3 linked regions of the Kluyveromyces lactis genome follow. The protein of the gene in region 2 interacts with the protein of the main gene of each other region in a pairwise test. Links are inferred from orthologs where the notes say so. Each region holds a gene or a part of one and is shown on either strand. Other genes may lie near its edges.

Region 1 (2,750 bases), on a different chromosome or scaffold from region 2:
ATGAGCAACAGCTTCTTTCCAATCCTAATAACGGGCGTGACCAAGATCATGATCAACAACAGCAACAGTTGACTCATGATGGCGTACCACACGAATCGCATCACTCGTACCAGTGTCATCTATGTGAGAAACAATTCAGACGAAAATCTTGGTTAAAGAGACATCTTCTGTCTCATTCAAACGTGAAAAAGTTTCATTGCCCATGGTGTTCATCCACACATAAACGTAAGGACAACTTGCTTCAACATTTAAAACTGAAGCACACACAGTATCTCCTACACGAATTCACGTTGTTTGGTATACTGATGAATGTAAACAACGGGTCTGGTAATACTGCCAACTTGGTAACCACAAGCACTGGTGAGACAATTTGTCTAATCAACAATGAACCCTCAACAACCATCAGAGACATGTTGGATTCAAACGCTTTGCCCAAGGACCAGGTGAAAAGATGTTTGAATTATATAGTAGATAGCAAGTGTAGCTAACACCGCGTTGGTAGTATCATGTAACAATTATTTAGTAATCTCCATTCGAAGAAACACAGACAGGGTCTGTTACATTTTTATACTGACAAAAATCATACATAATAAGAAATAAAATGGTATATAACCTCTCCTCATACTAGTTCAAAGCATGTCTCTAACAACCGCTTCGTTTGTCACTGATGCAGCAACTCTACCCCGGTCACTTAGAATAGCACTATTCTTGAATTCTTGACCAGCAGCAGCACCAAGTGCGTACACTGTAGCTGTAATACTGAGACCGACCGCCACAACGATTAAACTAGTACTTTGAACGATAATAGAACACCATTGAATAGCACACATAACCAAATAGAACAAGGCACGTCTTAAATTGGTGTCGAATTTACTGACAAACCCAATGAAGTTATCGCTTAACGGACAAATCTTCAATAAAAATGGTACTTCAATGAACAATATTATCAAACCTTGAACAATTGCAATGATAGAAAATACAATGACTGCACTGAAATGGAAGATATTGGCAATACCAAACGCAAGACAGAAAATTATATTCAAGTATGAAATCCATTGACCGTAAATACTGAAGTTTGAAGACTTCAAATCGGCTACCATGCCTGAAACGTTAAACATCGATTTCAAAAAACCCACGGACACCATTTTTCTCCAATTAGTATGAACAAATGTCGTTTGCTATTGTTGTTTGTATAACAATTGGAATTTAAATGTACCTCCCCTTTCTTTCACGTACTCTGTGTATTATAATATCAGTAAAGATATTCACAAAAATTGCGCTGAGTAATCCTTTTCACCAAGTGGGTAGTACAACAGCAGTCAAATATATGAAAAAACTCTTTCAATTAGTATAACAACTTGAAGATATCAATCAATGAACCATCCAGAACTTGGCATTCAAACCTCTTTTGTTGTCAGATATACATTAAATTCTACCAAAGCCTTTATTAATTTTTTCTTTCTTTTACTTTAACATGAAAAAATGTGTGTAGATGAGAATCACCACTTTCTCGACTTACAATAAGGTTCGAAGAATCCGTTTCACAGTTGATCAGAGGAGATATAGGTAAAAGGCCTTAGAATACACACCATATCTTATTGCTTTACATGCAGCAAGACTGGAATAAGAGATTTTTCTGACATTGTAGTTATCAAGGTTTCCTATTGGTGCACAGAAGATTATAAATGAGTCTTTCCAGCGGTGATGAAGATAGCGATTGGGAGACGTTGGGCAGAGGATTCCCTGATCTTTCGCGGCTTTCGTTGAAGTTTCAATGGGATAGTTTTATGTCAGACTTGCAGGGGGGTGCTACTTTTAGCGGGGCGCTGGATCGTTTACAGACACTCAAGGCGAGGTGGGATACTATGTTACTGAACCTACCTTCGTATGCAGAACGGGGAAGTTCTTCTCCGCATGACGATGGCAAAAAAGGTACAAGGGATGAATCAGGTACTGATTCAAAGGATAAGGCTAGTGCTGGTATCGGTATTGCCAATGAGGAGATAAAGGGTCCGGAGCATACCGATCCTACTGTTGTGACTAAGGTTCATTCGGTGATGCATCCGACGATGTACACGAACGATTTAGTGATGCCAATGGATAAAGAATATACGGAATTAACGCATTGGGATGTAAAATTCAATCAGGATGAGGATGCGTTAAGGTCGAGGATCAAAAAAATCAGAGCGTTGGTTGATTTGTCAGAAACACAAAAGGCATCCATGATCCAAACGCTAATGATGAAGCATGCCACTGTACCAAGCGAGCATACCGGTTGTTCGCATTCGCATGAATCTGACGAGCTGGTCTCTAAGGGTAATCATGTATCGGAATACAATTTCGATCCGCCAGAACCCACTGAAGAGGATAAGAAGGATATAGACCAAATACCTGGGGTTCGAGGGTGTCCGCATTACCAGCGGAACTGTAAGTTACTCTGCAGTCAATGTAACAAGTGGGTATCTTGCCGGTTCTGTCATGATGAAGAAATCGATGACCATCATTTCCAAAGGGAGGCGACGCAATGGATTCTTTGCACGAGTTGTTTCCACTATCAGGCGCCATCAACACACTGTGATCATTGTGGCATTGAATTTGCATTATACTATTGCCCAATATGCATACTTTACGATAATGACGAGACTAAAGATATATACCATTGTGATAAGTGTGGGATATGTCGACTTGGACTTGGGTTGGGACAAGATTTCTTCCATTGTGACCAATGTGATGCATGTCTTTCCATTGAG
Region 2 (4,352 bases):
TTTGACTAAATATGAAGATTCGCTAGATGCTAACGAGAAGATGTTTGTCAATAAAGTATCTAAATTAACGGATAATTCTTGGCACTGTAACGGGATAATATTGTTCAAACAGTTGATGCTCTCAGATCTGACTACTGGTGTCTTACCTTCTACCATCAAAGTCAAAAACAACGATACCAATTCTCCAATCGGCACCTGATTGTTCGACCATTGTAACTGGAAAAACTGTGCACCATCCTCCATCATTTTGGATAAGGCCTTCAAAGAACCCTCGTTATTGTCTCTCGCGAGCTCAATTAATTGTGCAAGTGTGATTAACCCTTGAGGATCTTCTCTATGCTGTCTATAATAAGTAGAATACAAGGCTGCAATTACAATACCAGTAATCTTGACAATAAATTTGTTATTCAAACACAACCCGCGTACAATTTCTGATTTGACATACCCTAGGTCAACGATGTTGCCTCCCAATATGCAATTCTTCAAAAGAATACCTGCAGTACCTCTTAACTGATCCATTTCCTCAAGATGAAGTAAAATGTAACATAAATAATTGGCAAACTGTGGTTCTAATTTGAATGTTTCCAATGCATCGAGTGCTTGCTGTCTCTCATCAGAATTAGTTGAAACAGCATGTTGTAATGTCAAACAAAGTTGAGTTAGTCCTTCGTTATCTGGTGACCATGGCATACTGGGATTCAAGGTTGTTTATGGAGTCTCCACGGTACTGACCACTTCCTTATCAGCAATATCCGTGCTTCCTCCTGCTCAAATGTTTTTAGTGAATTTGATATCTCTGCGATGAGCTAACAAACCAAAAAAAAATTTTAAAGTCTAATGCAGTACTGCGGTCACGTGTGTTATTCTTTCGGTACTGAAACAGGAGATGAGCACAGACAGATTACTGAAGCAATAGTGATTGCTGTTGTTGGGTTATGTCTCTATAAAAGTTAGCTACATAATGCGTTGAATGGAGGTAATATCAGTTTGAGATGGCGTTTTCTATCTTGTCCATCATAACATCTATTTTGCTGAAAATAGGGTTGTACAAGGAGTTAATCACTGGATGATAATCCCCTACTACACCAGTGCTTGTATGCAATGCTACTTCAGAAATTAATGGAGAGTTGTGTTCATGGTCCATGCAACTTGAGGCTATAGAGGATGGAACGGTGCTGTAAGCGTTTGTATTTTCATCTGGTAAGATACTATTTTCTTCATCAATATCAATAGTTTTTTCTGTCCCGACAGAACTGTTGATATCTACAGCATTCAGTGTAGATATCGAATGCTGGTGATTATGAGTTACTTTTGGCAATGATTCACTATGTTGCAGAGAATCTTCATCATGAAGAGAGTTCAAATCAGGCGCATCTTGCGAGCTTACAATTTTCGATATATCTTGAATAGCTCTGGAAGATGGGATTTGATCATTCAAATTAGACTTCTCGAATTCCTTTTCACTTAGCAACTGAGGTGAATCATTTGTCCAGTCTGAAGAGGAAGGCGAGTATTCTCCGATTGTAGATATGGAACAATTTGAATTTGAATTTGTCATTTGGGAAGTACCTCTTGGTGCTGCTACTGGCATAGTGGGAGCTTGAAAGACTTGTTTTAGATCATTTTGTTTCTCTGACAACAGATCCGTCAAGGCAGGTTTTGAAGGTCTATTTTTTTGCACCATTAATGGTGCCATTTCATGGACATTGAAGGCAGCATCACTTACAACTTCGCTTACATCATCTGACAAATGATCATTCAGAAGGGTTTCATGTATTTCATCGACATGTGTTAAGTGAGTTCCAAGATCTGTTCCCAGGTGTAGATGCCCGTCTTGCCCGTCTCTTGATTCCACATCATGAACGTATTCTCCTGCACCATTCAGTTCTCCGCTGTCGTCCTCCAATGGTTCTTGCTCTATTTCATCAATATATCTTTCAGCATAACTGACAACATTATTGAAGCTAACCGATTTATTAGTTTTTGAGTATGCGTTCAACGGGGACTCAACTGCCTCAATACTATCTTCTTTGTTCAAAATATTCGATTCTTTGCTTGAATTTGAATCCTCTTTATGAGAAATTGAATGTGATGATATATTTTCGTTTTTCCAACAGTTCAGTCTAGCTAACCTTTCAGGAAACGTTTCAAGAAGTTCTGCAGGCGCGAATCCTATTTTCCCATCACTGCAACGTTTAACTAACCACCAATAAGAGTCCTGGTCATTCAAAAGAGTACAACCTTCGTCCTGTTCCAACTGGCAATGTGATGGATCAGGTCCCTGGAACGGGTATAATGCATATAATTTGCTGGGGTCTAATTCTTGCGGCGGATTTAACGGCTGCAGCTCATCAGAATCATCAGATTCATTAGTGTTCCAACCTATATTCAAGTCCTCTTCGTCGTTGTCATCTTGTTCTTCTGCCTCATCATCGTCATCATCAATATCGTCATATGATCTCTGCTCCAATCCGTTTCTTGCTTCTTTCGCACGATCTGCCACCATGTTATTATCAATAGCACTCGATGTATCGTTTGCAACTATCCCTTTCACAGAAGAAACATGTTCTCCGCTGTTTCTTTGAGAAGAAGTCTCTAAACTTCTTAACCGCTCCTCCAAATTATCTTCAAAATCCGAATCTGAATATGCATAATCTGAATCCTGCAGCTCGTTCCCATGTCGCGAACTGAAACTGGTATCATGCTCATTATCGATATCCTGTGCTAACTCTTCTTCTCCTTCTTCTTCTTCCTCCTCATCTTCCAACTGTAAATCACCGAGATCCGGGACACCTTCATAGTCAACTTTTTGACGATTTACGTCATTAGCATGTGCTTCAGTCGGCGTTATCACAACACTAGCATTGACACTCAGGGATTCCTCGTCCTTCTTGAGGCTTCGCATCTGTTTCATGATTTCATCGAAATCCTCAACCAGTGTAGGATCAGTTAATATCGATAGATCAGGTTTTGATCGTTCCCGTGATCTTAAGCCAGAGCCCAGACCTGCGAGTCCTGACATCTTAGGATACTCCAAATCCATCATACGATACAACTCGAGTGGTATAATAGCAGTTAATGCACAGATAGGATTCAGAGATGGAAGCTGATAATACTTTTCTCCAAGTAACGCGTGTATAAATATATCTCTGAAACCTCAGTGGAAAATGTTGCACCAAAAACAAGAGAATTAAAAGCTGTTTCAAGCCTCTTAGTGCTTTATCCAGAGCGGAAAATCCCCCTGAAAACCCTTCTAAAATGGTTTGTTGCGCCTTTTGTATAGGTGCTAGCTTCGATAAGTCGAACGACCTTTACTGTACGCTATACACCTTTCCCTCTCTGTCTCGTTTCATGTTCATTCTCACTAATTCCACCATATCTGTATCTCTAAATGTATATCACTAAAGACTAACGGCTGTGAATGTCAGAAACTTCGCTATGCGAAAAAGGAACTGATGCGAAAGAGAAACCGAAATATATTTCATTACCCGGATTACTATTTTAGCATTACGTGGAATATATCAGTCACGTGTTTAAATGATGATTTTTGACTTGACATATCTCGATATATTTCGATATTACTTTCCCTCGAGACATGAGAAATAAAAAATTGAAATGCGATGTATATAATGAGATGAGCCAGCTTTGTAAGTACGTGTGCAAATTAGGTGGTTGCAAAGCGGTATAATCACTTTTTCACTTAATATTTGATAGATGTTAGAGAACTATCACATCTAAGCATTAGCTGATTCACGTACTATTACTCACTCGCTTCCGACTATTACTACTGCGGAGATTGAAATTGAAAAGAAAAAAAGGGATCATCATGAACACGACAAGCATCACTCAAACCAACTTGGACGGTATCCTACCATTAGTGGCTAGAGGTAAAGTTAGAGACATTTACCAAGTCGATGATCAAACTTTGTTGTTCGTCGCTACTGACCGTATTTCTGCGTACGATGTCATCATGAAGAATGCAATTCCAGAAAAGGGTATCTTGTTGACCAAGTTGTCCGAATTTTGGTTTGATTTCTTGAAGGAAGATGTCCGCAACCATTTGAAACCATTAGGTCCAGGTGAAACCATCTTTGACAAATTACCTGCAAAGCTTTCAGAATCTAAGTACAAAGTTCAATTGGAGGGAAGATCTTTGTTGGTTCAAAAACACAAATTAATCCCATTAGAAGTCATCGTTCGTGGATTTATCACAGGATCTGCCTGGAAAGAATACAAGAAGACCGGTACTGTCCATGGTTTACCACAGCCAGAAGGTTTACTGGAATCTCAGGAATTCCCATCTCCTATCTTCACTCCTTCTACTAAAGCAGAACAAGGTGAGCACGACGAAA
Region 3 (4,600 bases), on a different chromosome or scaffold from region 2:
TCAGAACCAGGACATCGAACAATTTTTCTAGAGAGGCAGATTTCAATACGACATTAATAACAGCCTCATCCCAACTATCGGTTGTCTTGGAGATGTTTTTGAAAAAGTCCATGTTTTCTACACCAACGCTTAATCTATTAATAACTTCTTGAGAATCCCGGGAGGATTGAACAGAGAATCTTTTAGGGGTTTCGATAACTACACTTGCCGGTCTCGATTTTTTGTCCCAGTCATCAACTGATTTAAAAGTAAGATCATCTAAAACATGGAACAAATCCATGTTGATACTGAACACGTCGCGAATAGACTTAAGAAGCATTTGTTTGTTTGACTGCTTTGTGGACAGTTCTCTAACCACGGGTTCATCAATCCGGTCAATACCGGTTATCAACGATTTATCTTCAGGGCTAATGCCTAAGGGTCCACTAACAGATAGCGTTTTACCGGACCTGCTGAGGGTGTTTGTTTGAACGAATGACTGCCTGTTATTTTGGGCACCTGCAGCACCTATGAGGGCAGTCTGAGAGAAAAGAGAATAGTCTAGAAACAGCTGATTGAACAAAATTGGCAGATAGCTACCATTTAACAGCGAGCTTCTTTTTGATAAATTCGCAAATGCATCAAGTTTATCCAGCTTTGGGGGTTCCAGTTTCAGACTCATTTCCATTATGTTTTCAACATTCAAACGTGACCGGGATACATGATAGTTCAAATAGTGGTGAAAGTCGACGTCGGGATTTTGTGGCGTACTTTGTATATTTGCCATTTCAATTGGAGGAAGCCTTTGTTGCCACTTTTGGAAGGCATTTTTAGTTCTATAGATCTTTTTCTCCAGATACCTAAACATGGTATCCTGAGTCAAATCATTAGTGTGAATAGTTAAGTCTCCAAAGTACGGAATCACGTTTTCCCTGATAGATTTCTCATTCAGATTAGGAGGAGCTAAGATGAAGACACTATTAGTAGTCCGAAACGATAATTGCCTTCTCTCAAGTTGAACGATTGTGGGGACCCAGTCTTTGAAAATGATCTTAAGTGTTTGATCCGAAATATATTGCCAAGTCAAGGATAGCCTTAGAATAGGCGTAGAACATATTATTGTTGCGATCGCCAACCATGAAACCATATCTCCAATCTTTTCAAATGTACATCCCAGTTGGACCCACTTCGTCAGAACAAGGGCCCTCTCCTTTGGGTGTAATGGCGTACCATCAATCTGTTTAAACAGGTGTTCGATCAACAGCCTGCTAACATAGTGGATATTTGACCTGTTATTGAACACAAGCGGATTAAGATCAATATAGTTCTTGTTGAAAGCGGAATCATATAACAAAGAGTAGTCTTTCTGAGGTGACCATATCTTATTATATGTTAAGTTGATAGCATGTATTTGGTCCGCCAAAATTGCATTATCTAATTTGAGAAATTCTTTGACATCAACGAATTTTGAAATAGCGTTTTGGTCTACTGGTTTTTTGGAGAACGAAACCAACTTGTTGAGTTTATTATGCGACTCGGCTATCGCTAGTTTGAGGGAATTTGATATTTCATCATCATGTAACGATATAATGTCTAGCAGGTTTATGATATGATTAAAAGTTGTATCATCTAGCAAAAAACCAGGAAAAACGTCTAGTACTGTCTTTACTACCAATGCTAAACGTTGAGTCATCAGTTCATCTGTGGCCGGCGAAACTTTATGGAATTGCTTTGAGTCATTGGTAAGCTTTTCACTATTCTTGCTAAAGGTCTTACCGTACAAGCAGAAACATTGAAAGAAAAGTGAAAAATCCTCGATCAGGGGCAGCATTAAAATAAGGTCCACAATCTTCTTTGTTTCTAGTGTTACAGAGAATAAAACAGCATGACAAATACTTTCAACAGTTCCAAATACAATTTGATCATGCTTATCAATCTTTAAATTTGGATGCGGATAGATCTCACTTAAATATTTAATCTCCGTTATGTCCTTTGATACATTTGTTTCATTATCTTTTGTCTGGATTGCAGAAACTGTACTTTGCTTGGAGCTTGGACTAGAAATGGGACCTGCTTCCTTCGAAGAGTTTTGTTCCTTTGAGGTGCTGACTGGAATGTCTGTCATTAGAGGCGGCGTCGGTAACTGCGGATCTTCTTCATGTTCATGCTTTGTGTCAGGTGGATCGAGTGTAGGGTCCAAGAATTTTGCATTACTGATACCTGATTTGTAAAGATTTAGGACACATCCTTTAAGTTGGGCTTTGTATAAACGGTACTCCTGACTATAGTTAGACGAACTCCTGACAGAACTACTGGAGGATAAATCCGAACCGTATATTCTACTTTCACGGTGATTTCTAGAAGACCCGAATGACGAATTAGACGAAGGAGTATGAACGGTACCGTGTGACTTGTTCATCCAGCCAGTTTTAAAAACCATAGAATCAAAGTTATCAGAATTCAACTGTAAAGCGGGAGTATGAGAACGATCAAGACTCTCTGACCGTATATCGGCATTACTTTGGTCATTATTGCTAACGGAAGAGGCATGTTTATTATCATAAGTAAGATTGTTAATGGCGTAGGTACTTCCTGATCCTCCGTTTATCGTCATAGAATCTTTGTTTGAACTTATCACTGGCGTTAGACTATTAGAATGACCAGGGATTGAGTCAATTGATTCTTCGTCTGTAACTGTTTGCAGATCATGTCTACTGCTCGAAGACGACAAAGACCGTTGCGATCTTGACTGGGATTCTGAAAGATATAAATTGGAGGCAGACTTCGGTAGAGAGCCATGCCTCGAAATTGATAACCCAGAATTCGTAGATGTAGTTGATCCCCTATGTGACGAAGGCGCAGAATTTGACGACGTGCCTATTGAATGCCCAGAGCCTTTATGTTTATCCTCATTCTTCCTAGTTCTAGTTGACCACCGGAGACCCTTCATTGTTGAATCGTTACTTGTGTGGAATATATGCGTTAGAATTTCCCTTTACTCTTCAATGAAGAGGTGTAACTGGATAGAATCAAACGAAAGAAAGGAAAGCTGGTAACTGATGTCTTAGTTAAGTCTCAATTCGAAATAAGGCAAAAGAGATAAATAATCGATTAATCGATAATAGTTTTTATGACCAGCGGAAATCAACCAATTATAAACACTATTTCACTTGAGCTTATTATCAAAACCGATCAATTCAGTAAGAACGATTTGAGTCGGTATCCAATCAATTTAGGCACTCTAGATGGCACTTTTCCAATTTATGAGCAATACAGTTCCAAGCCCAATGATGGATAGGTAACAATGATACTATGATATTGGAAGCGATAAGTGATCGATCACGTCAAAATACCAACAAAAACTGGAAGGAGCCTATGAGGTGTATCGTTTCGTCCTCTAAAATCGCGATTGAAGCTGAAAAAAAATAATCAAAAACACTCAGCTTATAACTAGGAAACAAAGCGAACCAGGTATATCCAAGGTATATTTATAATAAAGTAATGAGTGTATGTATTAGTTCGTAAAGGGCTCACTGGTCTTGTGCCGTTCCGGAAAGAAATGTTGTCTGTTGTGTAAAAATATGATCAGTTCTATCGTATTTTGTTTATTTTTTTTCGTACTTAGGTTTTAGCTTTCATTTCCTTTATGATTCGATTTTCCCACCAAAAAAATCGAACTCAGAACAATCGATTCAAAGATTTGGTCAACGTCTACGTATTTTAAGAAGCCCAGTGCAGGTCGTGAATATTTAAGTAGCGTGTTCATATATAACTAACTTTATCCGCGACGCGTCCAACCAGCTAGACTGCTGATGCAGGTAGGAGCTGGTATTCATCGATGATGCACGGTAAAAATGGGGTAATGTCAATGTCACACTTCATTACTGGTTAGACGGTCATCGTATCTTCAAGTAGGAAAAATGCTCAAAATAAGGAAGTTATACTGTTACTTAGAGACCCAAAAGGGTCAAAGTGTTAACGCATTCGCCAAGCCAGTAATGCAGTTGAATAAAGTTTTTTTTAAAGGGAAGAGAAAAAAGAGGGTACCGCGTCTCGTGATGAAGATTTCGTAAGGCTACCGTCTTTTAATCCCCCGTACATTTGTATCTTCTGCCCGATACCATTCTTGGCTCTTTCATCAACAAGCATCGGTAGGGCTGTATTTATTTATTCTGTTCTTTATATAGAAAGTTGCCCTACCTTGTCGTCATTTCGCTTTCCTTTTGAAATATGACGAATATATCCTATGGCTCAGTTTCCATATTTAGAGAACGCAAGTGATTCAGTAGTCTTGCTTATGGACTGTCACTGAAAAAAGAATCCAGGAACTGCTGATTACAACCTTTCACAATCTGGATGAGTTGAGGCTCTGCTATTAGTAACATCAATCATCTATACTTGCTATATGCATCAAGAACTTAGGACGATAAAGAAAAGAAAAGATACACCGCATGGAAGTATTAACAATGCTTCATTAACATGGCGAAATACCTATGTGCCTTTTGAGAACCGTTCAGGGAATTATTGTCCTGGTTACATTTGAACGATTTGGTCGCGTGCCAAGTACTGCTTCATTCTCGACAATGCTTCTCCCTTGAAGCTTTCTTGTAAGTTCTTCAGA

What was found. The genes of interacting proteins can lie anywhere in the genome.
Region 1: the proteins of BUD14 (region 2) and TVP18 interact in a two-hybrid assay, tested with the Saccharomyces cerevisiae proteins (2 studies listed by BioGRID). The link is inferred for Kluyveromyces lactis from reciprocal best matches to the Saccharomyces cerevisiae genes BUD14 and TVP18.
Region 3: the proteins of BUD14 (region 2) and BEM2 interact in binary tests that used the Saccharomyces cerevisiae proteins (3 or more experiments, as listed by UniProt). The link is inferred for Kluyveromyces lactis from reciprocal best matches to the Saccharomyces cerevisiae genes BUD14 and BEM2.

Annotation. Positions count from the first base shown.
Region 1 is NC_006041.1:1,646,001-1,648,750, reverse strand, and holds TVP18 (Tvp18p), read right to left. Parts: upstream 1,146-2,750; coding exon 630-1,145; downstream 1-629. Other genes in the region: MOT3 (Mot3p), read left to right, coding at 1-488; KLLA0_E18503g (RING finger and CHY zinc finger domain-containing protein), read left to right, coding at 1,686-2,750. UniProt on the Saccharomyces cerevisiae protein: Golgi membrane protein involved in vesicular trafficking.
Region 2 is NC_006039.1:388,506-392,857, reverse strand, and holds BUD14 (protein phosphatase regulator BUD14), read right to left. Parts: upstream 3,047-4,352; coding exon 983-3,046; downstream 1-982. Other genes in the region: KAP104 (Kap104p), read right to left, coding at 1-690; ADE1 (phosphoribosylaminoimidazolesuccinocarboxamide synthase), read left to right, coding at 3,827-4,352. UniProt on the Saccharomyces cerevisiae protein: Important for bud site selection. Seems to be a regulatory subunit of the BUD14-GLC7 type-I phosphatase complex. The BUD14-GLC7 complex is necessary to regulate microtubule dynamics at the cortex and may function as a specific activator of the dynein complex.
Region 3 is NC_006041.1:90,621-95,220, reverse strand, and holds the start of BEM2 (GTPase-activating protein BEM2), read right to left. Parts: upstream 2,930-4,600; coding exon 1-2,929. UniProt on the Saccharomyces cerevisiae protein: GTPase-activating protein (GAP) for RHO1 and RHO2. Involved in the control of cellular morphogenesis. Required for proper bud site selection and bud emergence.